Linked DNA regions of Anolis sagrei. The protein of the gene in region 3 purifies or fractionates together with the protein of the main gene of each other region. This does not show direct contact. Links are inferred from orthologs where the notes say so. Each region holds a gene or a part of one and is shown on either strand. Other genes may lie near its edges. The genes, in order: EIF3I, EIF3D, EIF3H and EIF4G1.

Region 1 (8,074 bases), on a different chromosome or scaffold from region 3:
ATGTCCGTGGCTGCTCTCTGCCATTGCATCCTAATCCCACAGTATATATACGTGAGTCCCCCCACCTCACTCCCATCCATCTCTCAGCAAGAAATAATATTCATGAATCCAGATCTAATGGGAGCCTCAGAGTGTGTTGGTTAGGGCAAAACTCTACAAGAGCGGGGTGTGGGACTATCCTATTGTCTGAGGAACATCTCTCTTCCACTTCCCTGGGGCTGTTGGCCTTGGCAGTTGATTAGATGAATCCTCTAGGAGTTTCTGGGCTCTGGGCAGTTTTGAGGGTGAGCTGTTGAGCAAGATCGGATCTTTTGAATCTCAGCAGCTGCGGAAGTTATATTAATTCTATATACACACACACACAAGAAATAATGTTTAAATTCATATTTTAAATTCATATATAAAGTCATATAGTAGACCAAGGAACCACACTAGTTGAGAAGAAATGGCACCACAACCTGCAAGAAGAAGAAGAAATGGCAGTATTGATGCCAAAATCAGTTGGCCATCTAAGGAGTGGAAAGGATGTCTGATACACAGTCTCCGTTCTAAAGGAATCACCATGTAAGACAGTGCAAGGCATTTTATCCCCATTGACAGCCATTCAAATGACCCACTCCTTCCCCTGATTGGCTCAGAAATGGTCAAGCCAGGATCTGGGCTCTCATTGGCTGGGGACTCCCTGAGATTTCAGAGGTGGGCAGAGTTCCTTTGTGGCGGGAAGAATTGAGAGCTTCTATTGGTTCCTTTGAAGCTGGAGCCGTTCGGAGTGCTGCCTCAGGAATAATAATATGGTTTGGGGCAATGCAAAAAATCCACGACTAGATTATATGAGTCCACAAAAGGAGCTAGTCTCTGACATAATCGGAAGGCTTAGGTCAATATAGACAGCTGAATGGAAAAAATAGAAAACAATACAAATTCTATTAAGACGGAGTTCATATCTGATAGTTCTGAAACACCTAGATATTTGCCTGGACCCTGATCCTAATTACATCTTAAAAGGATCCTTTCCTGTTTGCTTTGCCTCCCTGAGGGGATTTTCTCCCAGGACACTGGACCAGTTTCCCAGATGTACAAACCCCCAGAGTTTCTCAAATAAAACATATAGTTTTTGGGTGCATTGGGAACATTTCTGTGGCTGCTCTCTGCCATTGCATCCTAATCCTCACAGTATAAATACCTGAGTCTCCCCACCACCACCACCACCTCATTCCCGTCCATCTCTCAGCAAGAAATCATCTCCATGAATCCAGATCTAAAGGGAGCCTCAGAGTGTGTTGGTTAGGGCAAAACTCTACAGGAGAGGGGTGTGGGGCTATCCTATTGTCTGAGGAACATCTCTCTTCCACCTCCATGGGGCTGTTGGCCTTGGCAGTTGATTAGATGAATCCTCTAGGGGTTTCTGGGCTCTGGGCAGTTTTGGGGTTAGCTGTTGAGCAAGATCGGACCTTTTGAATCTCAGCAGCTGCGGAAGTTATATTAATTCTGTACACACACACACAAGAAATAATGTTTAAATTCATATTTTAGGGAGTGGAGGGGTCATTTTTTGACAAATCAAGCCAGTATCTTCAACTGCAATAATTAAAAAATGTTTAAAATGCATACTGTTCTGTTTCTTGTCTCTAGAACCATGTATTCTATGACAACACACATTTTTTGTCTTGGCAGCAATGAAATGTTGGGCTAGATGCATTGCTGATATTGCAGTGAACCGCTATGAGGATGCTCTTAGTGCATTGAATTTTATCTAATCTAAATTTTAATATCGTTGTATGCATTTGATGTGTGATACTGTATTTTAATGGTATTGTATTCTAATGGTATTGAATTGTAATAGGCGAGATCTGTATTCCAATTGTTTTATGAAGTACTTTGGTATGTTTTTGGATTGTTGTGCTTGTATATTGTACTTCTTTGTGTGCAAATGGCCTATAGTGAGGCATTAACAAACAAAACAGAATATTATCCCATGTAACATAAAACCCCAGAGGTCTTAGAAGTGCAAGCACTGGAAAACAGTCAGCCTAGTATACTTGATAGAGTAGAATTGTGTGCTTTAGTTACTGGGAATTAGACAGTTATTATTATTTTTGTAAGTATATTAATAGGGGGAACTATCAAATACCTTGTAATTGAAGCAAAGGAACTTCATTTCTGCCAGGAGCTGCAGGCTTCGTCTCTCCTTCTTCACTTGCTCCAGGCCTTCTGTTCCCTTTTTCAAAAATGGGTTGGTCCCTCCCCAAAGAAGGGCCACCAAGAGACAGGCACTTAGTTCACCTGCAAGAAAGGAAACTTCTAATAATCATTGTAATGGTAATTTGGAAGGATTTTGCAAAAGAGTATTCGAGAAACCCCTCTTCCTCCTGGAGAGAAGTGCCAAGAAGAGGGCCCAGTCCTGGGCCATTCAGGACTATTCAAAGTCTCGATTGATGACTTAGATAACTGAATAGAAGGGAGGTTTATACACTTGAAAATGGGACCTTGTTGGGAGGGATGGCTAAGACTCTAGAAGGCAGGATCAGGATCCAAAGTGACCATGGGAGATTAAAAGGATGGATCAAAATTATTATTATTATTTATTTACTGATGTTTAATGATTTATGTTACAATTGTTTTTAATTGCCCTATACTTGTCTCGTGATGTTTTGTATAGATGTTGTTCACTGCTTTGAGTCGCCTGAGGGCTGAGAAAAGCGGTATATAAATAAAGTAAATAAATCAATAATAAATAAATATTTACAGTATTTATATACAGCCTTTCTCACCCCTGGGGGGACTCAAAGTGGGGGTGGGGGACTCAAAATGTAAGGCTTCTTGTGGAGGGAAAAAGTAGTGTGTAAATAAACATAATAACTAACCAAACGAACTTCAACAGGGACAAATGTATAATATGACGCTTTGACAATAAACATAAAATGGATAGATATAGGATGGGTGACCCCTAGCTTGAAAGCAGTCCATGGGAACGGGGTCTAGGAGTCTGAGTGGACCACAAGCTGAACATGAGCCAACACTGTGATGCAGCAGCGAAAAAGGCCAATGTGATTCTAGGCTGCATAAATAATATAGTGTCTAGATTAAAGGTACTCATAGTCCCACTCTCTTTTGTGTTTATTTATTTATTTACCACATTATACTCTGTGCCTCTTACCCTGAAGGGATTTTCAGGCAGGCTGGCAGAAACTGCCGTATAATCAATTGTACTATACCTGTGTACCCTGTTGGTGGCATAGGTATAGGCAGCTTGCGTTATGTCATGCTGGGTTCCATTGAGGTAGTGCAATGGATGCAAGGAGAGAAGTTCTAAGAGAATTGACTTGTATTGTCAAAGGCTTTCATGGCCGGAATCACTGGTTTGTTGTAGGTTTTTTCGGGCTATATGGCCATTTTCTAGAGGCATTCTCTCCTAAGGCCTCTAGAACATGGCCATATAGCCTGAGAAAACCTACAACAACCCAAACTTGACTTGTTTCTGATTATGTCTTGAGAAACCCTGTCAGCAGATGTAACCTGACCATCTTGTCCAAAGTTAGTGCCTTCCACTTGTTTCACACCCGCTCCAATTCTAGCATTAAAATCACCACACAAGATAAGCTTTGTGGAGGGATATTGGCATTCCAAACAGGTGAGGGTTTCAGATAGCCCAATCCAGACATTAGGGCCTCAATTTTTGATAATATATTAGGCAGAGTCTGGATGACCATCTGCCAGGAGGGCTTGGGTGGTGCCTTCCTACATAATGGTAGAAGGGGGTTGGACTGGATGGCCTTTGGGATCTCTTCCAATGCTAGGATTCTATTATTATTATTAATATATTAAGCAGAGGCTGAATTGACATCTGCAGGAGGGCTTGGATGGTTCCTTCCTGCATAATGGCAGAAGGAGGTTGAACGTATTATTATTATTAGGTTGAACGTATTATTATTATTATTATTATTATTAATATATTAAGCAGAGGCTGAATTGACATCTGCCAGGAGGGCTTGGATGGTGCCTTCCTGCATAATGGCAGAAGGAGGTTGAACTGGATGGCCTTTGGGACCTCTTCCAATGCTACGATTCTATTATTATTATTATTATTAATATATTAAGCAGAGGCTGAATTGACATCTGCCAGGAGGGCTTGGATGGTGCCTTCCTGCATAATTGTAGAAGGGAGTTGGACTGTATGGCGTTTGGGGTCCCTTCCAACTCTAGGATTCTCTTATTACTATTATTATTATTATTATTATTATTATTATTATATTAAGTATAGACTGAATGGACATCTGCCAGGAGTGCTTGGGTGGTGCCTTCCTGCATAATTGTAGAAGGGAGTTGGACTGTATGGCGTTTGGGGTCCCTTCCAACTCTAGGATTCTCTTATTACTATTATTATTATTATTATTATTATTATTATTATATTAAGTATAGACTGAATGGACATCTGCCAGGAGTGCTTGGGTGGTGCCTTCCTGCATAATTGTAGAAGGGAGTTGGACTGTATGGCGTTTGGGGTCCCTTTCAACTCTAGGATTCTATTATTAATAATATTATTCATATTCAGCAGAGGCTGGATGGACATCTGCCAGGAGGGCTTGGATGGTGCCTTCCTGCATAATAGGAGAAGGAGGTTGGACTGCATGGCCTTTGGGGTCCCTGTCTTCCAATTCTAGGGTTCTTTGAGTCCTGTTTCTCCATGAGCCTGCTTATGAGTTTGTATGGCCATCTGTTGGGAGGGCTTTGGTTGTGCTTTTCCTGCCTCCAGAAAGTAGTTGGACTGCGTGACCCCTGGGAATCCCTCCCAGCTCTGGGACGCACTGCTTCTACAGAGGCCGAAGGTGGCCATGGACCCACACCGTTTCTAATACACGTGGGCATGAAACTAAAGTCCCCCCCCTTCCTTTCTCACCCAGCGACGCCATGGCGACCGGTCATAGAGTAGAGGGCTAGACTGACGCAAACAAGTCCTACTTCCGGTTTGGCGCAGCTCTTGTCAACCGGAAGTGTGAGGCTCTCTTCTCTTTTTATATCTCTATGGACACCTGGTTTCGGCTTTCCGTTTCCGGTCTCGTGCCGGAAGTGGTTCATCTGGCCTCTTCTGCGCCGCCTGGCCTTCCTTTGCCGCAGCCATGGTGAGTCCCTCTTCCCCTGAAGCTGCCCATGAGTCGGTTTAGTGGATCAATCCAGCCTGGTCTGGGCCTGGGCCTCTCCGTTCCCTATCGCCAGCCCCAGTGAGCAACCTTGCTGCAGGTGTTTGGACCAGCTGAGGTTTCTGAGCACTCTTTAAAGGCAGCCATACCTAGAGCGCGTTACAGTATTCCAGATGGGATATAACTAAGGCATGGATCACCATTGCCAGATCTGGCTTCTCATGGAATGGGCGCAGTTGGTGCACAAGTTTTAATTGTGCGAAGGCCCTCCTGGCCGCTGCCGATAGCTTCAGCAGGATCCCCAGACTTTGAATCTGTGTTTTCGGGGGGGGGGGGGGCATCCAGCGCAGGCTGGATCCCTATTCCGTGGTCTGCCTTCCAACTGATCAGGACTACCTCTGTCTTGTCTGGATGAAGTTTCAATTTGTTTGCCCTCATCCGAGGTCATCCTGGTCAGTTGCAGCCTGTGCTGGATGGGGTTACACTCCCCTTGAAGGCACAGGTTCGCAGCTTAGGAGTCCTTTTGGATTAATCGCTGAGTCTGGATCCTCAGGTAGCAGCGGTGGCCAGGGGGGCTTTTGCACAATTAACACTTGTGCACCAGCAGCGCCCGTACCTTTGGAAGCCAGACTTGGCCACGGTGGTCCACGCTCTCATTACATCCAGGATAGACTACTGCAACATGCTCTACGTGGGGTTGCCTTTGAAGACGGTTCAGAGGCTTCAAATAGTCCAAAGAGAAGCAGCCAGGTTAATAACTAGGGCAGCTAACAGGGAGCACACAACTCCCATGTTACGTCAGCTGCTCTGGCTGCCTGTTTGCTACCGGGCACAATTCAAAGTGCTGGCTTTGGCCTATAAAACCCTAAACATCCCAGGCCCAGTTTATTTGTCTGAACGCATCTCCCTTTACGAACCACTGCGGAAACTAAGATCTTCTGGGGAGGCCCTGCTCTCGGCCCTGCCACCATCACAGGCGCGTTTGGCAGGGATGAGAGACAGGGCCTTCTCAGTGATTGCCCCTCGGTTATGACAATATTAGATCAGCCTCCTCCCTCCTGTCCTTCAGAAGAATGTGAAGATCTGGCTGTGGGTCCAAGCCTTTGGGGCAGTGCAATGAGGCAAAATGGTGTCCTGAGATGGTTTTTAAGCAACTTTTAATGTGAATATAAGTGATTTTAATGTTTGTATATATTTATGGTTTTATGTCCTGGCATTGAATGTTTTCCATATATATGTTGTGCTCTGCCCTGAGCCCCCTGCGGTGTGAGAAGGGCGGAATATAAATGTTTTAAATAAATAAATAATTGCTGATTATAGATGCTGGTTTAGGGTCAGAACAGCTTCCTTGGCATTAGGTGGAAAGGAGTAGTAGAGTTGGATGTCATCTGCGTATAGGTGGCATCATACTCCAAAACTCTGGATGACATCTCCCAGCAGTTTCATGTATATGTTAAACACCATGTAGGTTAAAATGGAACCCTGAGGAACCCCGCAGGTCAACAGCCAGGGGTCCCCCAGCACTACCTTCTGGGTACGGCCTTTCAGGAAGGATCAGAGCCACTGCAAGACAGTGTCTCCCAATCCCATCCCTGTGAGACAACCTAGAAGGATACCATGGTTGATGGTATTGAAAGCTGCTGAAAGGTCCAGGAGAACTAACAGAGTACACACTCCCCCCTATCTAGGTCTCTGCGGAGGTCATTCACCAAGGCAACCAAAGCTGTATCTGTTCCATTGCCAGGCCTGAAACCAGATTGAAATTGATCTAGATAATCCATTTCACCCAGAAATCCCTGAAGTTGGGAGGCCACCACATGATCCAAGTCCTTGCTCAGAAAGGGGAGGGGTGCACACTGGCCGATAACTCTCCATTATAGAAGGGATCAGGGGTGGCTTTTTAAATATAGGCCTCACAACAATAGGAATAATAATTGAAATAATAATGGGAAGAATAGGAATAAGGTACTGTTCCATTATCTGGATGGAATAATAATGATAATAGGAATACTCCTAATAATAGGATTAATAATAAGAATAGGAATAATAATAATGATAATAATCATAGGAAAGAGCTAAAAACTTGGTTCTTTCTGCAGGCCTTTGATAATGTTTAAGATACTAACCAGATTACTATATTTAGCCAGGGAAGTCTAAATTGATTGTATGGATCTTTTAATTAATTATTATTGCCATATTTTATTGATTATGTTGCTCTTGTTAACTTAATATGCCTAGTTTTAAATGTGTTATTGGTTTTTAATGTTGATATATTGTATTTTATGTTGTATGGCACCATTGTGTGCTTTGTGAGTTGCCCCGAATCCCTATGGGAGATGGTGGCATGGTATAAATAAAGTTTATTATTACTATTATTAGGAATACTACTAATATTAGGAATGATAGGAGTATGAATAACAATAATAATAGGAATAAATCTACAGCTGTGTTTGTGTTTCTATCCATGTATGTTATAGGATATTTAATTTATATGATACATGTTATCATGTTATCTCTTGGTGCGCTATGTTTTATAAGAAATGTACTGCTATTTATACCTTCTCCAAAAAATAGATACAGCTTTGCAGATTCAGAGAGCAAAAACAGAGAAAGGAATGAAATCTCTACAAGGCAGTATGGTTCAGACTGTGTTAAAGCACATTGTTCTTTTCTTCCCACAGAAACCTATCCTCTTGCAGGGCCATGAGCGGTCTATTACTCAGATCAAATATAACAGGGAAGGAGATCTACTCTTCACGGTCGCCAAAGATCCGGTAATGATTTTCTATATTTCCACACACACCCCACTTCTATGTGTATATATAAAGGAATTGAAAATCACAAATGTTCTACTGCAGCATCTGTCTGTCGATCTACAAATCAGAATATGCATGTTGGTTTGTACCACAAAGCCTTCTCCATGGCTTGATGGATCA
Region 2 (6,993 bases), on a different chromosome or scaffold from region 3:
TGCTATGGGGTTATGGGGGCTGTAGTTTTACAAGGCCTTGAGCCTTCTCTGCCAAAAGAGTGCAGATGCCTCATCAAACTAAAAATCCCAGGACTGCATAGCATTGAGCTATGACAATGAAATTACAGATGACACCCCGCAAATAGAAGCTCCAGTTGCTCCTGAAGCAGCTTACCCTTTTGCTATGGCTCAGCAAGATTATCTTATTACGCGAATCTAATACACATCCTGATTTTGGCAAGGTAGTTTAGCTTTAAAAGGTGATTTGAGTAAATACAGTATGTACAGTTTTCCTGTAACAATGAGGAGGAGGAAGAATAGTTCAATAGCAGATGCCTCCATGGACTGCTGCATAGGACACATATTTGGGACATCATGCTGAGGCTGAAATTTAATTATTTATTTATTACATTTATATGCCGCTTTTCTCCCCCTAAGGGAACTCAAAGTGGTTTCCAACATTATAAAGGTAAAATTCAATGCCAAACATACATGTGAAAACCAAAAGATAATAGCAAGACGATAACATATAACTATAAATTAACCTAACCAAATTAAAAAATAAACATAAAATGACATTTAGACTTAAAGAATAAACAATTAAACATTGATAAAATAATAACATTTATATTAAAACCCACCAATAAACAACACGATTTTAAAAGTTATTAAAATCAAATCCATAATAGAGTCTGTAGCCGTTCCATTGGTCCATTCACTATTCCTTATCCCTTTCTGATGTACGTACAATTATTGTGATGTTTAATTGACTTCTTTCTTCCCATCCAACCCAAAGAGGAAATAAGAAAAATAAAAGACTGCACAATGGACCTTCATTATCCGCTCACCTTGCAGATTGTAGATCAGGATGAAGGGTTCCTACTGATACAAACTGTACAAAGGGAGGCTACATGGTGGGGACATGGACCATGATGTGAAATTGCCCCATTTACATTTAACCTATTTGAGTTTGACAATGATTGAGTGACACCCCAAAAAGGTGGCGCAGAACTGTGAAACTATAAAAGCAAATGTACTGTCACTGCTCAGGCTTCCTGAATTTCGGTAGCATCACTGGAGGTCCAGTTCTCTGTATTTTTTCTACTTCTTCTGATAGTTTTTCAGAATAAAACTTTCTTTCTGAGACTAATAAACACCTTGTTACTTTGCTGGCCGTGTTTCTACACTTGCACCTTTTAAGAGATTGGGGTGACAGCTGTACCCTACAAACTCTATCAGTTCTGAACCCTTTAATAAAATGTAACTATTTGATGGTTTCTATGTAAATTGTATCTTTCTTACTGTGTACTGTATCAGGAAAGCTAAGAGAAGACAATTATGCTGGGGAAAATGGAAGGAAAAAGGAAAAGGGGTTGACCAAGGGTAAGATGGATGGATGGCATCCTTGAAGTGACTGGCTTGACTCTGAAGGAGCTGGGGGAGGTGATGGCGACAGGGAGCTCTGGCGTGGGCTGGTCCATGAGGTCACAAAGAGTCAAAAACGACTGAACGAATGAACAACAAGAACTGTATCAATTTAGTATATGAAGTGTATAATCTGTTTGTTATACATATCAAAATGTAACATTTGCGTAATCTCTTGGGAAAGGGGACATTGGTCAAATCCCTCCCTTGACTGCGGTCCTAGCTGAAATCACTACACAATGGTATAGTAAAATAGTGAGGCAAAAATAGGTTTGCTTTTTGGAATTTTTCTCCCCAGATATTTTTGAGCTGTAGTTGGTGAAGCCCCACTGTATCAAAATCAGAAATTATAGTAAAATCAGAAATTTTAGAATACCAATGTTGTGGTCCCTTTGACTACGAATGGTCACTCCAGTGCAATTAGATGCGGCTGTACAATAATACATTGTGTTTCATTATATTGTTTTTTTGTTTACACTCAGGTTTACACTCAGGCTGAGAGGAGACATAATAGCTATGTATAAATATATGAAGGAAAATTATATGCAGGAGGGAACAAGCTTGTTTTCTGCTGCCTTGGAGACTAGGACGCAGAACAATGGCTTCAAACTACAGGAAAGGAGATTCCACCTGAACATGAGGAAGAACTTCCTGACTGTGAGAGCTGTTCAGCAGTGGAACTCTCTGCCCCGGAGTATAGTGGAGGCTCCTTCTTTGGAGGCGTTTAAACAGAGGCTGTATGGCCATCTGTGGGGGTGCTTTGAATGCGATTTTCCTGCTTTTTGGCAGGGGGTTAGAACTAGATGGCCCACGAGGTCTCTTCCAACTCAATGATTCTAGGTCCTTACTACACTAAACCATTATAGCACTATATTCTGCTTTAACTGCCATGGCAACACCCTATGCAATATTGGGGTTTGTAGTCTAATGAGGTCAGAGATCTTTCTGGTTGAGAAATCTAAATGCTTCTCCGTAAACTACAAATCCCTGGATTCCACAGGTTTTTTGTTGTTGTTGTTTTGTTTTTTTGTCATGTCAGGAGCGACGTGAGAAACTGCAAGTCGCTTCTGGTGTGAGAGAATTGGCCGTCTGCAAGGATGTTGCCCAGGGGACGCCCGGATGATTTGATGTTTTTATCATCCTTGTGAGAGGCTTCTCTCATGTCCCCGTGTGAGGAGCTGGAGCTGATAGAGGGGGCTCATCCGCCTCTCCCCAGATTCGAACCTGCGACCTGTCGGTCTTCAGTCCTGCCGGCACAGGGGTTTAACCCACTGCACCACCGGGGGCTCCATGATTCCACAGTAACCTGCTATTACAGTAAAATAATAGGATTGTAATGGTGCAGTACATAGGGGTGCTCTTACACTGTAGAATTAATGCAGTTTGACACCGCTTCCTGCCATAACTCAGTGCTATGGAATTCTGGGATTTGTAGTTTGGTAAGGCAGTTTGATGAGGCACCAATACTATTTGGCAGAGATAGCTAAAGACCTTGCACAACTACAACTCCCACAAATCCTTAGCCTTGATCTTAAGACAGCTTATTTATTTGTCGTGTCAGAGCAACCAGTCCATTATATTACATTTCTAACAGAACAAAGTAAACAAACAGACAAATACAAAACTTGTGAGTTTGGTAGTTGGTTAAATGTCCTTTGACCAGTATCTGGCCACTTGGAGTGCTTCCGGTGTTGCTGCAAGAAGGTCCTCCATTGTGCATGTGGCTGGGCTCAGGTTGCATTGCAGCAGGTGGTCAGTGGTTTGCTCTTCTCCACACTCACATGTCGAGGATTCCACTTGGTAGCCCCATTTCTGAAGGTCGGCTCTGCATCTCGTGGTGCCAGAACGCAGTGTCTTTAGCGCCTTCCAAGTCTCCCAGTCTTCTGTGTGCCCAGTAGGGAGTCTCTCATTGAGTATCAGCCATTGGTTGAGGTGCTGGGTTTGAGCCTGCTACTTTTGGACTCTCGCTTGCTGAGGTGTTCCAGCTAGTGTCTCTGTAGATCTTAGAAAACTATTTCTAGATTTAAGTCGTTGACGTGCTGGCTGATACCCAAACAGGTATAAGACAGCTAAAGTGGTATAAAACTACATTAACTTTACGGCATAGATGCACCTTTTGATCTATTCCATACACACACTTGCAGTATTTATTGTATTTCCTAGATTGTAAAGCAGCACACTGCCTTTAGTTGCAATAACACAAATTAAAATAGCCCAAAAGGCACCAGGTTGTCTGATCTTGGTAGCTAAGCAGGATCAGCCCTGGTTTGTAATTGGATGGAGGGAGGGGATCACTGACAAAAGGCAGGTGCTGTGGGGGGAAGAAACTAGCAAAACCATCTCTGAGAATCCCTTTCCTTTAAAAAAAAAAAGAGCTATAAAATTCATGGCGTTGTTGCCATAAATCCGCAGGCGATAGGCACTGAATGCAAATAACACAGAGAGAGAGAACCCAGCGTTTTTACGTCCCTGCCAGGCCTTTCCTTTCCTAACTCGGCTTTTGCGACAGTTTTGGCGTCGCGCTGGAGTGACGTGTCATGAGAGCCAGGGCCGCCGCGCCGGAAGCCGGGGAAGCCGTAAAGCGCAATCCTTGTGGAAGGTGGTTTATCTGTCGTCGGTGTTTTCGGGGCCGAATCCGCTGCCATCGGGGCCCACTGGGGTCCTAGAGGTGAGCGAGGCGGCCACGGGGGAGGACCGGGGAGCCTTCGCTCTCCTCCGGCGCCAGTATTTTTTCCCTCCGAGTCTTGGATTGTAGTCTTGCCGGGCCTCGAGGGAAGGGCGGCGGCTGCTGAATGGATTCGGCGGAGGGGGAAGGCCCATTTCAGCCCTGTTCCAGGCTCAACAGCAGGTATGGGCCAACTTGGGCCATCCAAGTGTTTTGGACTGCAACTCCCACCATTCCTAACAGTCTCAGGCCCCTTCCTCCCCTGAGGAAGCAAAAGGAAGGGGCCTGAGGCTGTTAGGAATGGTGGGAGTTGCAGTCCAAAACACTTGGATGGCCCAAGTTGGCCCATACCTGCTCTAGATACTCCCTTGGTCATTAAGGGTCATGTCACACTACACTATTATAGCACTACTATTCCACTTTTAACTGCCATGGCAACAGTCCTTGGCATTCTGGAGGTATAGTTTAGTGAGTCTCAAGAGCTGAGAACTATCCATGCGCCTCCCTAAACTGCAAATCCCAGGACTTTTTAGGATATCGCCATGGAATAATACCTGTGACGATGAATGTGTTGCCAAAAGCATAGTACAAAGTAGACATATTTGTATTGTGTTGGTATAATGTTTTATTTTGTACTGCTCTTTGTAAGAGCTTAGGCTCTTTAGAAAGTAGCATATTCTTAATTCTTTTTAAAAAGTAAAGGTTTTACCCTGACATTAAGTCCAGTCATATCCAACTCTGGGGGTTGGTGCTCATCTCCATTTCTAAGCTGAAGAGCCGGCGTTGTCCGTAGACACCTCCAGCATGACCGCATGGAGCAACATTACCTTCCCGACGGAGTGGTACCTATTGATCTACTCACATTTGCATGTTTTCAAACTGCTAGGTTGGCAGAAGCTGGGGCTGACAGTTGAAGCTCATGTCACTCCCCGGATTAGAACCTGCCACCTTTCGGTCAACATGTTTAGCAACTCAGTGGTTTAACCCACTGTGCCTCCGGGGGCACCCGGGTTTTTATTAAGTTATGTCCAAATATATTCTTAATAATCTTATTATATTAACTAGCACAATATTAGTATTATATTGTACTATACAGCTATACTGCAGTGTGATGGAGCCCTAGGTCTCTTTATCACATGCTCAAAAGGAATGAACACGTCATCACACTCATTTTGCAAAATGCTAGAAATGACAAAGAGAAATTAGGCATTTTTAGTATGTAATAGTATTGATCTATAAAACACATTTCTCATTCACACTGTCATTAAACAGGATAATAGTTATGCGGTGTTTAATCATATGTGGGATAGTTTGCATTATAGAATTATTTCAGAAACGGCATTGATTATTTGCCGTGTATATGTATATTGTGATCTGCTCTGAGTCCCCTTCGGGGTGAGGAGGGCGGAATATAAATACTGTAAATAAATAAATAAATGTATCTACGACATTTATATTCCGCCCTTCTCACCACAAAGGGACTCAGAGCAACTTATAAGTTATATGTACATACAATATATTGTATTATTAGCATAGCACAATATTAGTATTATATCTTACTATATTGTACTATACTTCTATGCTGCAATATTATTAGTAATTTTACATGTAATATATAATTATTGTTATTATATTGTATTATTAGTATTATATTGTATTACAGTATTATGATCAATATTATACGTACATACAATATATTATTAGCATACTATAATATAGAAGGACTTTTCTGTATGCCTGCTGACTGAAAAACCTTGCACTCCATTCCTCTTGCTTTTCTGCGTAGTTTCATGCAGTTCCAGGGCGACAGTGGCCACAGGAATGTGATTAAAATGATTTTGTATCCAGGACTATAATTGACATCTTAAGAAGATTTTAGTGATGCTTGTTAATAAGAAGGTTGGTTGTTATAGGGTAGCAGGAAAAAAAGATATACAGGACTTTAAGTGCTGACTCTGTGGTATTCAGTGCAGCTGAATGACTTGAAATTTTTCCTCAAAAAACACTTTTACCTAATTCTACATTCTCAATTCATGTGTCCAAAAATGAACAGTGGATCATGGATTGGATCTCATCAAAGAGCTGTGTTTAATAAACTTGTAGAAATTGAAGGAGGTGGTGTTTTTTAAAGAGTCTCTGAGAATGTAAAATTTTGTGCTGCTTGGTATTGGATTTGTTATTTCTGATACACATTCAGGATGTTGTTTATGCAGTCAGTTGTAAATCCTTCCTTGAAAGTGTAAGGTTGTGCTGATACTTTAAGCACTAACCTACAACCAATAAATAATAAAAATTTAGTATTATTTTTGTTCTTGGCATTGAATGTTTGCCATTTTTGTTATACTTTGGAAACCACCCAGAATCCCTTTAGGTAGAGAGGGCAGGTTATAAATATATTATTATTATTATTTCCTTTATACAAGTTGAGTATTCCTTATTAGGGACCAGAAGTGTTTGAGATTTCTGTTTCATCCACCTTTGGGAATAACTGTCTTTGCTTATATGTACATGATGTGATATCTTGAAGATGGGACCCAAGTCTAAACATGAAATTAATTTATGTTTCATATACACAATTGTGCACATAGTCTGAAGGTATTTTAAAAGATATTTTAGTCTGCTCCATGAAAACACCTTATCAGCTGATCTTAGTATTTCAAAATGCCTTTGTATTTTATAATTGTGAGAACATCATTTTCTACCTTTTCTTTTCTTTTTTTTACTAGAAATATAAAAGATGGCGAGGTTCATGATACCTGTGATCCAAGACAATCCATCAGGATGGGGTCCATGTGCTATCCCTGAGCAGTTCAAAGATATGCCTTATCAGCCCTTCAGCAAAGGAGATCGTCTGGGGAAGGTATGTTCACTTGTAGCTTTTTACAGAAGTTCAAATAACTTCT
Region 3 (7,717 bases):
ACTTTCTCATTACTTTATTTTCCAGTTCAACAGACTGGGCCACAGCAACACGTGGCAGGGGACAGCTAGTTGTATATAATTCGATTTCAGGTGCGTTGAAGGGCACTCAGAAGCTATTTGGGATTCCAGAACAGGGATGCTTCCTCAAGGCTGGGTGAAATAAAATGACACTTCTCTGCAGCCTATCAGCTCTCAGAGAAGGAACTGTTCCGGCCAATCAGAGGCCGCGTCCAGCACAAGCCCCCGATTCGAATGCCCGGCTCCAGCCAATAGGAGCGGCAGCTTTCTGAGGAGTTGGTGGTGCTCTCCTTTTCCTGTCCAACTCACCGCGTGGTGCAGAGCTGCGTGGCGCCGCCCAGGTATCCCGGCAGCTGTTCTCGGATCTGGATCTTGTTGCGCAGCGCCGCCTGGCAGAAGGTCCCGTCCAGCAAAACTTGGAAGGGCTCCCGGAAGCCGAAGTTGTACTTGTAGAAGCCCACGTTCCTCTTGGCGTGCTTCTGCCGCGTGATCTTCATGGCGGAGGCCGGGAAGGGACCATAGAGAGGGAAACAGACAGCCGGGCCTCCCTCCCTCCCATCCGGAAGTAGGGCTCTTGCGCCGGAAGGAGCACACATTCGACGCATGCGCGGTGGGATCTAGAGGAAACTGGCCCAAAACTGGCTCACGTGCTTATCCTTGGATATTCTTGCCTGCAGATGTAATGCAGTTTTAAACCGCTTTAACTGCCATGGCTCAATGCTGTGGAATATTGGGATGTATAGCCAGATGAGGAAGGAGCCAGCACACTGGCAAAGAAGGCTGAAGACCTTCTGAAACTACAACTCCCAATATTTCATAGCATTAGTTAGTTAAACAACTGCCTGAAACCACGGCTTCTAAAATAAATCTACAGCCTTGGCTATTAAAAGTGTTGTCAAACTGAGTTTGTTCTATTATTGAAGGCTTTCAACTGTTTAGCCGGTATCGCACCACCTGACACCCGCCGGGAAGTAGCAGCCAATAGTGAAAGGACCAAGGCAGAGACATCTCCAGCTCATCCCTTGTTTGGGTATCAACTAGCACGACAACGACTTAAAACAAGAAATAGTTTTCTAAGATCTACAGAGACACTTGCTGGAACACCTCAGCAAGCAAGAGTCCAAAAGTGGCAGGCTCAAACCCAGAACCTCATTCAATGGATGATACCAAATGAGAGACTCCCCCCTGGACACACAGAAAACTGGGCGACTTGGAAGGCGCTGAACAGACTGCGCTCTAGCACCACGAGATGCAGAGCCAACCTTCAGAAATGGGGCTACAAAGTGGAATCCATGACATGCGAGTGTGGAGAAGAGCAAACCACTGACCACCTGCTGCAATGCAACCTGTGCCCTGCCACATGCACAATGGAGGACCTTCTTGCGGCAACACCAGAGGCACTCCAAGTGGCCAGATACTGGTCAAAGGACATTTAACCAACTACCAAACTCACAAATGTTGTATTTTGTCTGTCTGTCTGTTTGTTAAAAAATGCAACACAACTGTTTGGTCTGCCCCTGACACGATAAATAAATATGGCTGGAATCACTGGGTTATTGTAGTTTTTTTGGGCTGTATGACCATGTTCTAGAAGGATTCTCTCCTGATGTTTCGCCTGCATCTGTGGCAAGCATCCTCAGAGGTTGTAAGGTGTGTTGGAAACAAGGAAAATTGGGTTTATATATCTGTGCAAAGTCCACGGTGGCAGTAACACTCTAAAATTATAACAGTAAATAAAGAACAACACTGAAACACGGGAACTCCAGACAAGAAACAATCAGGGACAGCTAATCACCTCTCAACAAAAGATTACCCCAGGCAGTAACAAGCCTCACCTAAAAACTGTCAGGCCATGAAATGCTAATCAAGGTGGCCAATTGAAACATTCACACCTACCTCCAACAGACAAGAGTTCTTTCTCCCACCCTGGACTTTCCATAGATATATAAACCCCATTTTCCTAGTTTCCAGCCGACCTCACAACCTCTGAGGATGCCTGCAATAGATGCAGGAGAAACGTTAGCAGAGAATCCTTCTAGAATAGTGGTTCTCAACCTGGGGTCCCCAGATGTTTTTGGCCTACAACTCGCAGAAATCCCAGCCAGTTCACCAGCTGTTAGGATTTCTGGGAGGTGAAGGCCAAAAATATCTGGGGACCCCAGGTTGAGAACCACTGTTCTAGAACATGAGTTCATTCTACAATATAAACGTGGCCAATTCAGTATTTTATTGTCATTTCTTAGAATCATAGAGTCCAACCCCCTGCCATGCAGGAAAAGCGCAGTCAAAGTATCTCTGACAGATTACCACCCAGCCTCTTTTTTAAAAGCCTCCAAAGGAGGAGTTTTCACCACACTCCGAGGCAGAGAGTTCCACTGCTGAACAGCTCTTATAGTCAGGAAGTTCATCGTAATAGGTTCTTTCCTATAATTTGAACCCATTGCTCCGAGTCCTAGTCTCCAGGGCAGCAGAAATGAAGCTTGCTCCCACCTCCCCGTGACTTCCCCTCACGTATTTATACAAGCCATAATGTCTCCTCTCAATCTCTTCTGCAGGCTAAACATGCCCAGCTATTTAAGCAGCTCCTCATAGGGCTTGTTCTCCATCATTTTAGTCCTCCTCTGGACACTTCGTAGCTTGTCAATATCTCTCTTAATTTGTGGTGCATAGAATGGAATACAGTATTCCAGGTGAAATCTGGCCAAAGCAGAATAGAGAAGGCACCATGACTTCCCTCGATCTAAACACTATGTACTTTTGATGCAGCCCAAAATCTTACTGGCTTTTTAAGCTGCTGCATCACACTGTTGGCTCATGTTCAACTTGTTGTCCATGGAGACTCCCAAGATCTTTTTCACATGGACTGTTGTCAAGCCAGGCATCACCCATTTTGTATCTTTGCATTTCATTTTGCTCTTCCCAAGTGTAATATCTTACATTTGTCCTTGTTGAAATTAATTTTGTTACTTTTGCCCCAGCTCTCTTGGCTCTTGAGGTTGTTTTGAATTCTGATCCTGTCCTCTGGAGTATTAGCTGTCCCTCCTAATTTGGTGTCATTTGCAAACTTGAAAAGCATGCCTTCTTAACCTTCATTCATGTCATTAATAAAGACATTGAACTGCACTGGGCCCAGGACCGAACCCTGCAGCACTCCACTAATCACTTTTTTCCTGGATGAACTATTGGTGAGCACCTCTAATCTGTTGAGGTCATTTTGGATTCTGATCCTGTTTGTTTAGGAGACAGTTGATACTGTTCCAACCCCATTCCTGTCATTCTGTTATTTTTAATGGATTTTGTGGCAGTGAATGGCTGAGAAGGATGGGATATAAATTCTGAAAAAATGAAGATTTGGCGTGGTGTAGTTTTTTTAAGTTTTGTGCTAGGAGACCCCTGTTTGAATCCTGGCACAAATAACAAACATAGTAAAGGTAAAGGTTGTGCCCCTGACATTAAGTCCAGTCCTGTCCGACTCTAGGGTGTGGTGCTCATCTCCATTTCTAAGCCGAAGAGCCGGCGTTGTCCGTAGACACCTCCAAGGTCATGTGGCTGGCATGACTGTATGAGCACTGTTACCTTCCCGCCGGAGCAGTACCTATTAATCTATTCACATTTTCATGTTTTCGAACTGCAAGGTTGGCAGAAGCTGGGGCCGACAGCGGAAGCTCACGCCGCTCCCCGGATTCGAACCTGTGACCTTTCGGTCAATAAGCTCAGCAGCTCAGCACTTTAACCCATTGCGCCACCGGGAGGACGGGGGGTTCTATATATATGCATATATATATCCACAATATATTTAAATCTGTATAATAATAGAGAAGAAATAATAAATATAAATTTATTTATTTATTTATTTACAGCTTTTATATTCTGCCCTTCTCACCCTGCAGGAGACTCAGGGCGGATTACAGTGTACACATATATATGGCAAACATTCAATGCCAATTTTTGACATGCAAACATATACAGACATATACAGAGGCTATTTAACTTTTTCTGGCCGTTAGGGGAGCTGTTGCTTTCATTGTCCATCTGTGACGCTGATGAAGCACTTCCGCATTCCCTGCACGCTTCCCCGCTGGAATGCTTTGCTGGAGTCTTCTTTATGTCCTCATAAATCAGTTAATTTAGCCTCCCCACACTTTAAGGTGGTACCTAATTTTCCTACTTGACAGATGCAACTGTCTTTCGGGTTGCAAAGGTCGACAACAGGCTACACACAATTGGTTGGAAACCCACTCCAACCTGGGCTGGCTTCGAACTCATGACCTTTTGGTTAGAGTGATCTTAATGCAGCTGACACTCAGCCAGCTGCGCCACAATGGAAATATATTGTATTTATACTCTACAATGTTTAAAATACAATTTATATTATTATATATTTAAACGATATATCTAAATCTGTATAATACTATAGAAGAAAATACATTTTCATGTGTTGTATTTATATTGTACAATATTTAGAATATAATTTATATTTAAATATATATTTAGATATACGTGCACTAATATTTAGTAAACACGCTTGTGTATAAGCGTGTTTGTATCTATTTATTAGTATATAAAACCAAGTGCACATGCTTTGGCAACCACTCCTCTTTGCCCAACTTGTCTCGTTCCCGGAACCTTTCTTCATGGGCTCCTGGTTTCCGCCCGGACGCTATTATTGCGGTGGAAGGCACTTCCGCTCTCTCCCTTTCCCGGTAGGCGTGCTCACTCTCTCTTTCTCTCAGCGATGGCGTCGCGCAAAGAAGCAGCCGGCGCTCCTTCGTCGTCCGTCGCCAAAGTGAAGGGCAAGTCAGCTCCGGGCGACTCTGCCGTGAAGCAAGTGCAGATTGACGGCCTGGTGAGAGAAGAGGGAGAAGGAGGAGTTGGGGGAGGAGGAGGGAGCATCTACACCAGGCAAGGGCCAAACTGGGCCTTCCAGGTGTTTTGGACTTCAACTCCCACAATTCCTAACAGCCTCAGGCCTCTTCCTTTTCCCCCTCAGCCGCTTAAGCGGCTGAGCGGGAAAGGAAGAGGCCTGAGGCTGTTAGGAATTGTGGGAGTTGAAGTCCAAAACACCTGGAAGGCCCAGTTTGGCCCTTACCTGGTGTAGATGCCTCAAATAATTCCTCTTGGATGCAGAAGGGGGGAAAACAACAACCCCATTCCCACCTAACACCATAAGATCCAATTTCAAGTCCATTGTGAACCAGCAACAGGTATCCGTATTTATAGCTCGCTGTTTTATTTCAGGACATACTTACTTACTTAGGCGATCCCTCGTTGGACGAGTAAGATGGTCTTCCATTATGGGTTCCTTGTGGGTCCGCATGTGGCTGTGGAGCCCTATTCTTGCTCTGCATTTTCTTCCACAGTGAGGGCATTGGTTTCCAGGTGGAAGGCGGTCCCGGTCGGGGTTGGCTTGACGCGCCTTCCTCCTGGCACGTTTCTCTCTTTCAACCTCCACTCGTGCCTCCTCAAATTCTGCAGCACTGCTGGTCACAGCTGACCTCCAGCTGGAGCGCTCAAAGGCCAGGGCTTCCCAGTTCTCAGTGTCTATGCCAGAGATTTTAAGGTTGGCTTTGAACCCATCTTTAAATCCCTTTTCCTGTCCACCAACGTTCCGTTTTCCATTCTTAAGTTCAGAGTAGAGCAACCGCGTTGGGAGACTGCTCAGGCATCCGGACAACGTGGCCGGTCCAGCGGAGTTGATGGCGGAGGACCATCGCTTCAATGCTGGTGGTCTTGCTGGTGGTCTTTGCTTCTTCCAGCACGCTGACGTTTGTCCGCTTGTCTTCCCAAGAGATTTGCAGGATTTTCCGGAGGCAGCGCTGATGGAATCGTTCCAGGAGTTGCATGTGACGTCTGTAGACAGTCCACGTTTCGCAGGCATACAGCAGGGTTGGGAGGACAATAGCTTTATAGACAAGCACCTTGGTATCCCTATGGATGTCCCAGTCCTCAAACACTTTCTGCTTCATTCGGGAAAATGCTGCACTCGCAGAGCTCAGGCGGTGGTGTATTTCGGTGTCGATGTTAACTTTGGTGGAGAGGTGGCTGCCAAGGTAGTGGAAATGGTCAACATTTTCTAATGTTACACCATTAAGCTGTATCTCTGGCATTGGGGAGGGGATGGCCGGTGACTGCTGGAACAGCACTTTGGTTTTCTCGATGTTCAGTGACAGGCCAAGCTTCATGTATGCTTCTGCGAAGGTGTTTAGAGTGACTTGTAGATCTTCTTCTGAATGCGCACAGATGAAATTGTCATCAGCATACTGGAGTTCTATAACAGATGTTGTTGTAACCTTGGTTTTGGCTTTCAGTCTGCTGAGGTTAAACAGCTTGCCATCTGTCCGATAGATGATTCCCACTCCGGTGGGAAGCTTCCCATCAACAAGGTGAAGTACTCTCCAGAGGCTTTGGACTACAACTCCCATTGGTAATGAAGGCTACAGACCTAGTAAAACTACAACTCCCAGTATCCCATGGTATTGAGCCAGGACAGATAAAAAGGGGGTCAAACTGGATGGATATCTGTTTGTTGTTGTTTATTTGTTCTATCGTTTCCGACTCTTCATGACCTCTTGTATACTTTCAAATCATTTCTGACTTAAGACAACCCTAAAGTCAAGCTATCCTGGGTTTTTCTGAGGTTTTGTAACTCATCAAAAGTCACACAATGGGTTTCCATGGCCAAGCAGGGAATCGAACATTGCTTCCCGGAGTCATAGCCCAATGCTCAAAGTACTACAGTACATTGGTTCTCTTTACTTGTTGTTGTTGTTCATTCACTCCGTTGCTTCCGACTCTTTGTGACCTCGTGGACCAGCCCACGCCAGAGCTAACTGTTGGCCGTCACCACCCCCAGCTCCTTCAGAGTCAAGCCAGTCACTTCAAGGATACCATCCATCCATCTTGCCCTTGGTTGGCCCTTCATTTATATAGAGAAAAAGTGGGGTACAAATAAACATAATAAGAGAGAGAAAATTGGGGTGTAAATAAACATACTGGTAATAGCACAACAATACAAGTACTGAACCTTAACACAATAAAAGATCTACTCTATTCTCTGAGTAGAATGGTAAAAGGCAAGCATCCAACCTGTTGTTGTTTATTCACTCAGTCTCTTCCAACTCTTTGTGACCTCATGGACCAGCTCATGCCAGAGCTCCCTGTTGGCCGTCACCACCCCAGCTCCTTCAGAGTCAAGCCAGTCACTTCAAGGATACCATCCATCCATCTTGCCCTTGGTTGGCCCCTCATTTATAGAGAGAAAAAGTGGGGTACAAATAAACATAATAAGAGAGAGAATAAGTGGTGTGTAAATAAACATACTGGTAATAGCACAACAAAACAAGTACTGAACCTTAACACCTACAATAAAAAGATCTACTCTATTCTTTGAGTAGAATGGTAAAAGGCAAGCATCCATCCTATTGTTGTTTATTCGCTCAGTCTCTTCCAACTCTTTGTGACCTCATGGACCAGCCCACGCCAGAGCTCCCTGTCAGCTGTCGCCCACCTTCAACTCCTTCAGAGTCAATCCAGTCACTTCAAGGATGCCATCCATCCATCTTGCCCTTGGCCAGCCTCTCATCCTTTTTCCTTCCATTTTCTCCAGCATCATTGCCTTCTCTAAGCTTTCCTCTCTCCTCATTATGTGGCCAAAGTACTTCATCTTTACCTCTAATATCCTTCCCTCCAATGAGCAGCC
Region 4 (7,398 bases), on a different chromosome or scaffold from region 3:
TTCTGATGTTTTGTCCACATCTATGGCAGGCATCTTCCAAGGCTGTGATGTCTGTTGGAAACTAGGCAAGTGAGGTTTATATATCTGAGGAATGTCCAGAATGGGAGAAAAAACTTGTCTAGTATGAATGTTGCAATTGGCCACCTTGATTAGCATTTTATGGCCTTGCAGCTTCAAACCCTGGCTGCTTACTGCCTGGGGGAATCATTTGTCGGGAGATGTTAGTTGGCCCTGATTATTTCTTCTCTGGAATTCCCATTTTTTTTAGTGTTGTTCTTTATTTACTGTCCTGATTTTAGAGTTTTATAAATACTGGTAGCGAGATTTTGTTCATTTTCATGGTTTCCTTTCTGTTGAAATTGCCCACATGCTTGTGGATGTCAATGGCTTCTCTGTATAGCCTGACATGGTGGTTGTTAGAGTGGTCCAGCATTTCTGTGTTCTCAAATAATATGGGGTGTCCAGGCTGGTTCATCAGTTGCTCTGCTATGGCTGACTTCTCTGGTTGAATAAGTTGCAGTGCCTTTCATGTTCCTTGATTCATGTTTTATTATTAACTTTATTTATACCCCGCTAACATCTCCCAAAGGACTCGGTGCGGCTTACAAAAGGCCAAGGCCCTCAATAAAACAACAGCATAACAAATACAACAATAAAACTCATACAGCAAAACAATAAACATTAAAGCAATAACAATAAACATTAGAACAATAACACCAATAACATTGTTTGGGCAATGCTGCTGCATTTGGTGGTCCCTATGTAGACTTGTCCACAGCTGCATGGAATACGGTAGACTCCTGCAGAGGTGAGAGGATCCCTCTTGTCCTTTGCTGAACGTAGCATTTGTTGGATTTTCTTAGTGGGCCTGTAGATAGGAAGCCATGAGAGTAAAGACAAAAATCCACCCAGAGGAAACGTGTTCTTACCAGACAACAAGGGAACCACTGACCGCATAGGGAAGCTGATGAAGAAACACAACCTTCAAACTATCTACAGACCCACTAAGAAAATAATATGCTGTGTCCAGGTTGGTTCATCAAGTGCTCTGCTATGGCTGACTTTCTCTTATAAAGTGTTTGAAAGTGAATAAATTGGTTATGAGGAATCGGGAGGAAATACAGAAAAACTTTGTCAATGACTGGGAACCTTTTTTGAACAGTGTGGGAGGTGGGATGGAAAAGTTCTTAGAGCAAGCTTCCATGACTGAAAAAGCTTGGGAGCAACTGCTCTATATAACTGTTCAAGCGTGCCCAGTAAGGGATTCTGGAAGCGAATTCTGTTTGTACTGCCTATTGTGGGCATACACACACAGCAAGAAACCCTTTAAAATGTTTATTTCCATGGAACCCAACTATATCTTTAATTGTTTTAAAGCAAAATATCAGTTAACATTAACAGCCTTAAATATGCAGATGATATCACTTTGATGGTCGAAAGCGAGGAGGAGCTGAAGAGCCTTCTAATCAAGGTGAAAGAAGAAAGTGCAAAAGCTGGGTTGCACTTAAACATAAAAAATAACAAGATTATGGCAACCAGACGGATTGATAACTGGCAAACAGAGGGAGAAAACAATAAAAAGCAGCAAGTATAAGATATTTTGAGTCAATTTGGCCTTTCTTTCTCCTTTTCCTCCTCAACCGCATGTCACTCCAGGTACCTCTGGGTGGGTTTTCTCGAATTCACCTTTCTCTTTCCATCCTTATTTGTATAAATTTTATTATAGTTTAATTTTTCCTAATCTAATCTCTGTAACTATTTATTTATCACTTAAATATTTGTAGTCATTTTTTTCTCTCCCTCATTTTTTTACTAATTTTTATTTTTTGGCTGTATAATGTATCTATTACACACACACACACACACACACAATTTTCTTGCAGTGTAATTTTTTACCTAAACTTTAACATTTTTAATGTAAAAATATAAATAAACATTTTCTTGCAGTGTAATTTATTTAAACTAACAATTTTATGTATTTATTGCAGTGAATTTTTAACTACTTTAAATTTTAATGTAAATAATTATTTTTCTTGAAATGTATTTTTATCTAAACTACAATTCTTAATTTTCTTGCAGTGTAATCATTTATCTAATCTTTAAAATTCTTCTCTCTCTCTATATATATATATATTTCAGTGTAATTTATATAAACTTTAAAATTCTAAATGTATATATATAATTTTCTTGCAACTTTAAAATGTGGTCTCGCAATGTATTTATCTACATTTTAAGCTGTGTAATTTTTATCTAATATTTAAATTTCATAATGTATATATTTTATTTCCTGAAATTCACTTTTTTCTTATTTGATCTCTGACATAAATATTCTTGCAAAGTAGTTTTTGCCCTAATCTTTGAAATTTATTTGATTTCCTTGCAATGTATTTTTTAAATCTAAACTACTATTTAATCTTCAAACTACTATTTAATCTTTAAATATTCTCATATATTATTGCAGTGCAATTTTATCTAATCTTTAAAATTCTTAATGTATATATAATTTTCTTGCAGTGTAAATTTGGTATAAATTTTAAAATTCTTATTCTCACAATGTATTTATCTAAATTTTAAACTGTGTAATTTTTTCTATTCTTTAAAATTCTTTATATATATAATTTTCTTTCAGTGTAATAGTTTATCTAATATTTAAAATTCATAATGTATTTATTTTATTTCCTGCAATGCACTTTATCTGATCTCTGAAATTCTTTCTCTCTCTATATATGTAAAGTAGTTTTTGACCTAATCTCTGAAATTCTTAATATGCAAAGTAGTTTTCGATCTACTCTATAAAATTCTTAATATATATATTCTTGTAGTTTTTGACCTAATCTCTGAAATCTCTGAAATTCTTTATATATATATATATATATATATATATATTCTTGCAAAATAGTTTTTGACCTACTCTCTGAAATTCTTAATATATATATTCTTGCAAAGTAGTTTTTGACCTAATCTGATTTATATATATATATATATAGATAGATTTGTAGTTTTTGACCTAATATTTGAAATTCTTAATATATATATTCTTGCAAAGTAGTTTTTGACCTATTTTCTGAAATTCTCAATATGCAAAGTAGTTTTCGATCTACTCTATAAAATTCTTAATATATATATTCTTGTAGTTTTTGACCTAATCTCTGAAATTCTTTATATATATATATATATATATATATGTTCTTGCAAAATAGTTTTTGACCTACTCTCTGAAATTCTTAATATATATATTCTTGCAAAGTAGTTTTTGACCTAATCTGATTTATATATATATATATATATATATAGATTTGTAGTTTTTGACCTAATATTTGAAATTCTTAATATATATATTCTTGCAAAGTAGTTTTTGACCTATTTTCTGAAATTCTCTCTCTCTATATATATATTCAAAATAGTTTTTGACCTAATCTCTGAAATTCTTTATATACATATTCTTGCAAATTAGTTTGTGACCTAATCTCCGAAATTCTAAATATATATATATTCTTGCAAAGTAGTTTTTGACCTAATATCCGAAATCCTAAATATATATATTCTTGCAAAATAGTTTTTGACCTAATCTCTGAAATTCTTTATATATATATATATATTCTTTCAAGGTAGTTTTGGACCTAATCTCAGAATTTTTTATATATATCTATATATATATAAATTTGGAAAGTAGTTTTTGACTTCATCTGAAATTCTTTATATATATACCTATATTCTTACAAAGTAGGTTTTGACCTAGTCTCTGAAATTCTTAATATATATATTATTGCAAAATAGTTTTTGACTTAATATCTGAAATTCTTTATATATATATATATTCTTGCAATGTAGTTTTTGACCTAATCTTTTAAATTCTTAAGATATATATATATTGCAAAGTAGTTTATGACCTAACCTCTGAAATTCTTAAAACGTATGTAATTATCTTTGATGGCCATGTCCTTTCCCTTGCCTAGACCTTTGTAATTCTAGATGTTTATACCAATTCAAAAAAGAGAGATATAGCTATTGAACTGAAAACAAAGACTCCAAAAGGGAGCAGCCTTTCTTCTCCTTCCTCCTCAAACACGTGTCACTCCGGCCATGATGGAAAGTAAGGCAAACAGGAACCGGAAGTCCCTCCAGGATCACGTGACGGGAGGAGGTGGGCGGGGCTTGTGGGGGAGACTTTGGCATACATCCGGGGATTGGCGAGGGAGGGGGGTCACGTGACGGGCCGGGCCGACCTTTTTCTCCCTGCGAGGCCAAAGCATGGCGAGGGTCACGTGACGAAGGGCGGCTCCTCTTTTTCTCCCCCCCCTCCCCTCCTCCCAATCCTGGGATGCCACTTCCTGTTTCTGCAGGCCGGCTTCAGCGCCAGGCCCCGCCCCTTCCTTTTCCCCTTTCCCTCCCTTTCGGAGCGAGCGGCTCCGGAAATGGTGGCTACGTCGGGCCCCGCTCCGTCGGGCTGAAGGAGGAGACGCCAGGTAAGCCGGGGGCCCTCTCCTCGACCCAACCCGGCCGGAGGGGGAGGAGGGAGAAGGAGCCGGCGGGCAGGCCGCGCTAGGCCTCGCCTCACCACCACCGCCACGTGCAGGAGAGAGGCAGGCCCGACTAGGCCTCGCGCCCTCCTCGCCCGCCTCTTCCTCCCCCAAACCGGGTGGGGCGCGGCCTTCCTCACCACATCCAACCACCCAGCGCCCCAATAGTTCCTGAGCATATGCAGAAGGCGCTGGGGTTCCCCTTCATCCATCACTACAGCTCCCCACTGGTTCCTGAGCATAGGCAGAAAGCACCTGGATGTCTCAGACCTCATCCAGTTCATGCCACGTTAGTATCTGAGCCCATGATGGTCTCGCCCCAATAGTTCCTGAGCATATACAGAAGGGTTTTGAGTTCCTAGTCCTCAATCAATCCGGTGACCCATTAATTTCTGATGTGCAAATTGTGTTGGGATTCATAGTCACCTATCAGTCCTAGTTTCTGAAGGTAGGCAAAAGGCACTTTAGGTTCTTGTGGGTTTTTTTGGGCTATACAGCCATGTTCTAGAGGCATTCTCTCCTGACGTTTCGCCTGCATCTATGGCAAGCATCCTCAGAGGTAGTGAGGTCTGTTGGAATTAGGACAGTGGGTTTATATACAGACCTCACTACCTCTGAGGATGCTTGCCATAGATGCAGGCGAAACGTCAGGAGAAATGCCTCTAGAACATGGCTCTATAGCCCAAAAAAACCCACAAGAACCTAGTGATTCCAGCCATGAAAGTCTTCGACAATAAAAAGGCACTTTGTTTCATAGTCCCGGTAGTTTCTGAACATTCACAGAATGCATTTGGGGTCACAGTTAATTATCCACTCAGCTCCCCACTGGTTCCTGTGCATAGGATTGGTTATACACGGACGATGAATTTTGGATTACGATTCCAGTTATGAGATGCATAGGATTGTTATTGGTGGCCCAATAATTTGTACTGTATATGTGTTTTATGCTTTTAACTGAATATTGTTTTTTAAATGTTGTAAACCGCAATGAGTCGCCGATTTAGGCTGAGATATTAGCGGTATACAAGTGCATTAATAAATAAATAAATAATAAATATAGAGAAAGCACTATGGTTTCGCATGCTTTATCTAGTTTGTGCCACATTACTATTTGAGCCCCTGATGAAGGCTTTGGGGTTCACCTCGCCCCAATAGTTCCTGAGCATATACAGAAGGCTTTTGAGTTCCCAATCATCTATCAATCCGGCGTCCCATTAATTTCTGAGCATGTGCAAATTGCATTGGGATTCACAGTCACTTATCAGTCCTGATTTCTGAAGGTAGGCAAAAGGCACTTCGTTTCATAGCCCTGGTAGTTTCTGAACATTCACAGAAGGCATTTGGGGTCACAGTTAATTTTCCATCCAGGGCTTCACTAGTTTCTGAGCATATGCAGAAAGCTTTCGAGTTCATAATAATTATTCATCCAGTGTTTCATTAATTTCTGAGCATACACAAATGGCATTTGGATTCATTTATCAGCCCAGCACCCCACTATGCTAGTTTCTGAGCATATGCAGAAGGCACTCACTTCTAGACATGAAAACAGTATTTCAAACCATAGCCATTCATTCTCTCCCCCCTCCCCCTGTAATTTCTGAGCATATGCAGAAGGTACTGGGATTTGTTGCCACCCATCAGTCCAAGTTACATTGGTTTCTGAGCATATGCAGAAGGCACTATGGTTTCTCATGCTTTATACAGTTCGTGCCACATTACTATTTGAGCCCCTGATGAAGGCCTTGGGGTTCACCTTGCCCCACTAGTTCCTGAGCATATACAGAAGGCTTTTGAGTTCTTAATCATGTATCAATCTGGTGTCCCATTAATTTATGAGCATGTGCAAATAGCATTGGGATCCATAGTCACATATCAGTCCTACTTTCTGAAGGTAGGCAAAAGGCACCTCGTTTCATAGCCCTAGTAGTTTCTGAACATACACAGAAGGCATTTGAGGTCACAGTTAATTATCCATCCAGGGCATCACTAGTTTCTGAGCATATGTAGAAGGCTTTTGAGTCCATAATCTGGTGTCCTGTTGATTCCTGAGAATGTGCAGATCGTATGTGGATTCATTGCCACTTGTCAGTCCTTCATACTTATTATTAAATCAGGTCCTTGTCCTTTGTTCCCCTTCAATCCGCTGCCCTACTCGTTTATGAAGGTAGGCCAAAGGCACTTTGATTAATAGCCACCCATATAGCTCCCCAGCATTGGATTCATAGCCCCGGTTGTCTCTGAACAAACACAGGAGGCATTTGGGATCACAATTAATTACCCCGCCTGGCCTCACTAGTTTCTGAGCATATGCAGAAGGCATTTGAGGTCATAGATACATATCAGTATATCTCCCCACTAGTTTCTGAGCATATGCAAAAGGCTTTTGGGTTCATGGTAAGCAATTAACCCAGTGCTCCATTAGTTTCTGAGTGTGTGGTAATAGCATTTGGATTCATAGTCACCTATCAGTACAGCTCAACTTTTTAATATGTAAATTCCAGGAAGATCAAGTTTTGTAACCCTTCTCCAATACTTTTTTCATATAAATAATCCTGTTGTTCATTCTCCTGTACATTTTATTGTAGATTATAGACCCACAGAACAAAATTCACCCCCAATTAACTAGTATAGTCCTCAAAATCCACAGATTCAGCTATCCAGAGCTTGAAAGTATTACATAAAGATCCAAAATACAAATGTTGGTTTTGCTATTTTATATGAGGCGCACCAGTTCACCAGGCCATTGTGCATAATGGGACTTGAGCACACATAGATTTTGGTATCCATAGGTGGGTGAGGGGTCCTAAAACAGATTTTTTTTTTGTATACCAAGGACATACTGCATTCATAAGGGCTGAGGCTCATATACAAACTTAAT

What was found.
Region 1: the proteins of EIF3H (region 3) and EIF3I purify together in Homo sapiens (affinity purification with mass spectrometry; 7 studies listed by BioGRID and IntAct, counting the BioPlex papers as one, with this or other methods). This does not show direct contact. The link is inferred for Anolis sagrei from reciprocal best matches to the Homo sapiens genes EIF3H and EIF3I.
Region 2: the proteins of EIF3H (region 3) and EIF3D purify together in Homo sapiens (affinity purification with mass spectrometry; 10 studies listed by BioGRID and IntAct, counting the BioPlex papers as one, with this or other methods). This does not show direct contact. The link is inferred for Anolis sagrei from reciprocal best matches to the Homo sapiens genes EIF3H and EIF3D.
Region 4: the proteins of EIF3H (region 3) and EIF4G1 purify together in Homo sapiens (affinity purification with mass spectrometry; 4 studies listed by BioGRID). This does not show direct contact. The link is inferred for Anolis sagrei from reciprocal best matches to the Homo sapiens genes EIF3H and EIF4G1.

Annotation. Positions count from the first base shown.
Region 1 is NC_090034.1:83,413,482-83,421,555, reverse strand, and holds the start of EIF3I (eukaryotic translation initiation factor 3 subunit I), read left to right. Parts: upstream 1-5,011; 5' UTR 5,012-5,117; coding exon 5,118-5,120; intron 5,121-7,819; coding exon 7,820-7,912; intron 7,913-8,074. UniProt on the Homo sapiens protein: Component of the eukaryotic translation initiation factor 3 (eIF-3) complex, which is required for several steps in the initiation of protein synthesis.
Region 2 is NC_090025.1:166,604,274-166,611,266, forward strand, and holds the start of EIF3D (eukaryotic translation initiation factor 3 subunit D), read left to right. Parts: upstream 1-3,968; 5' UTR 3,969-4,093; intron 4,094-6,816; 5' UTR 6,817-6,827; coding exon 6,828-6,950; intron 6,951-6,993. UniProt on the Homo sapiens protein: mRNA cap-binding component of the eukaryotic translation initiation factor 3 (eIF-3) complex, a complex required for several steps in the initiation of protein synthesis of a specialized repertoire of mRNAs.
Region 3 is NC_090024.1:23,341,004-23,348,720, forward strand, and holds the start of EIF3H (eukaryotic translation initiation factor 3 subunit H), read left to right. Parts: upstream 1-4,709; 5' UTR 4,710-4,753; coding exon 4,754-4,864; intron 4,865-7,717. Other genes in the region: rRNA-processing protein UTP23 homolog, read right to left, coding at 328-515.
Region 4 is NC_090023.1:262,549,625-262,557,022, reverse strand, and holds the start of EIF4G1 (eukaryotic translation initiation factor 4 gamma 1), read left to right. Parts: upstream 1-4,355; 5' UTR 4,356-4,466; intron 4,467-7,398.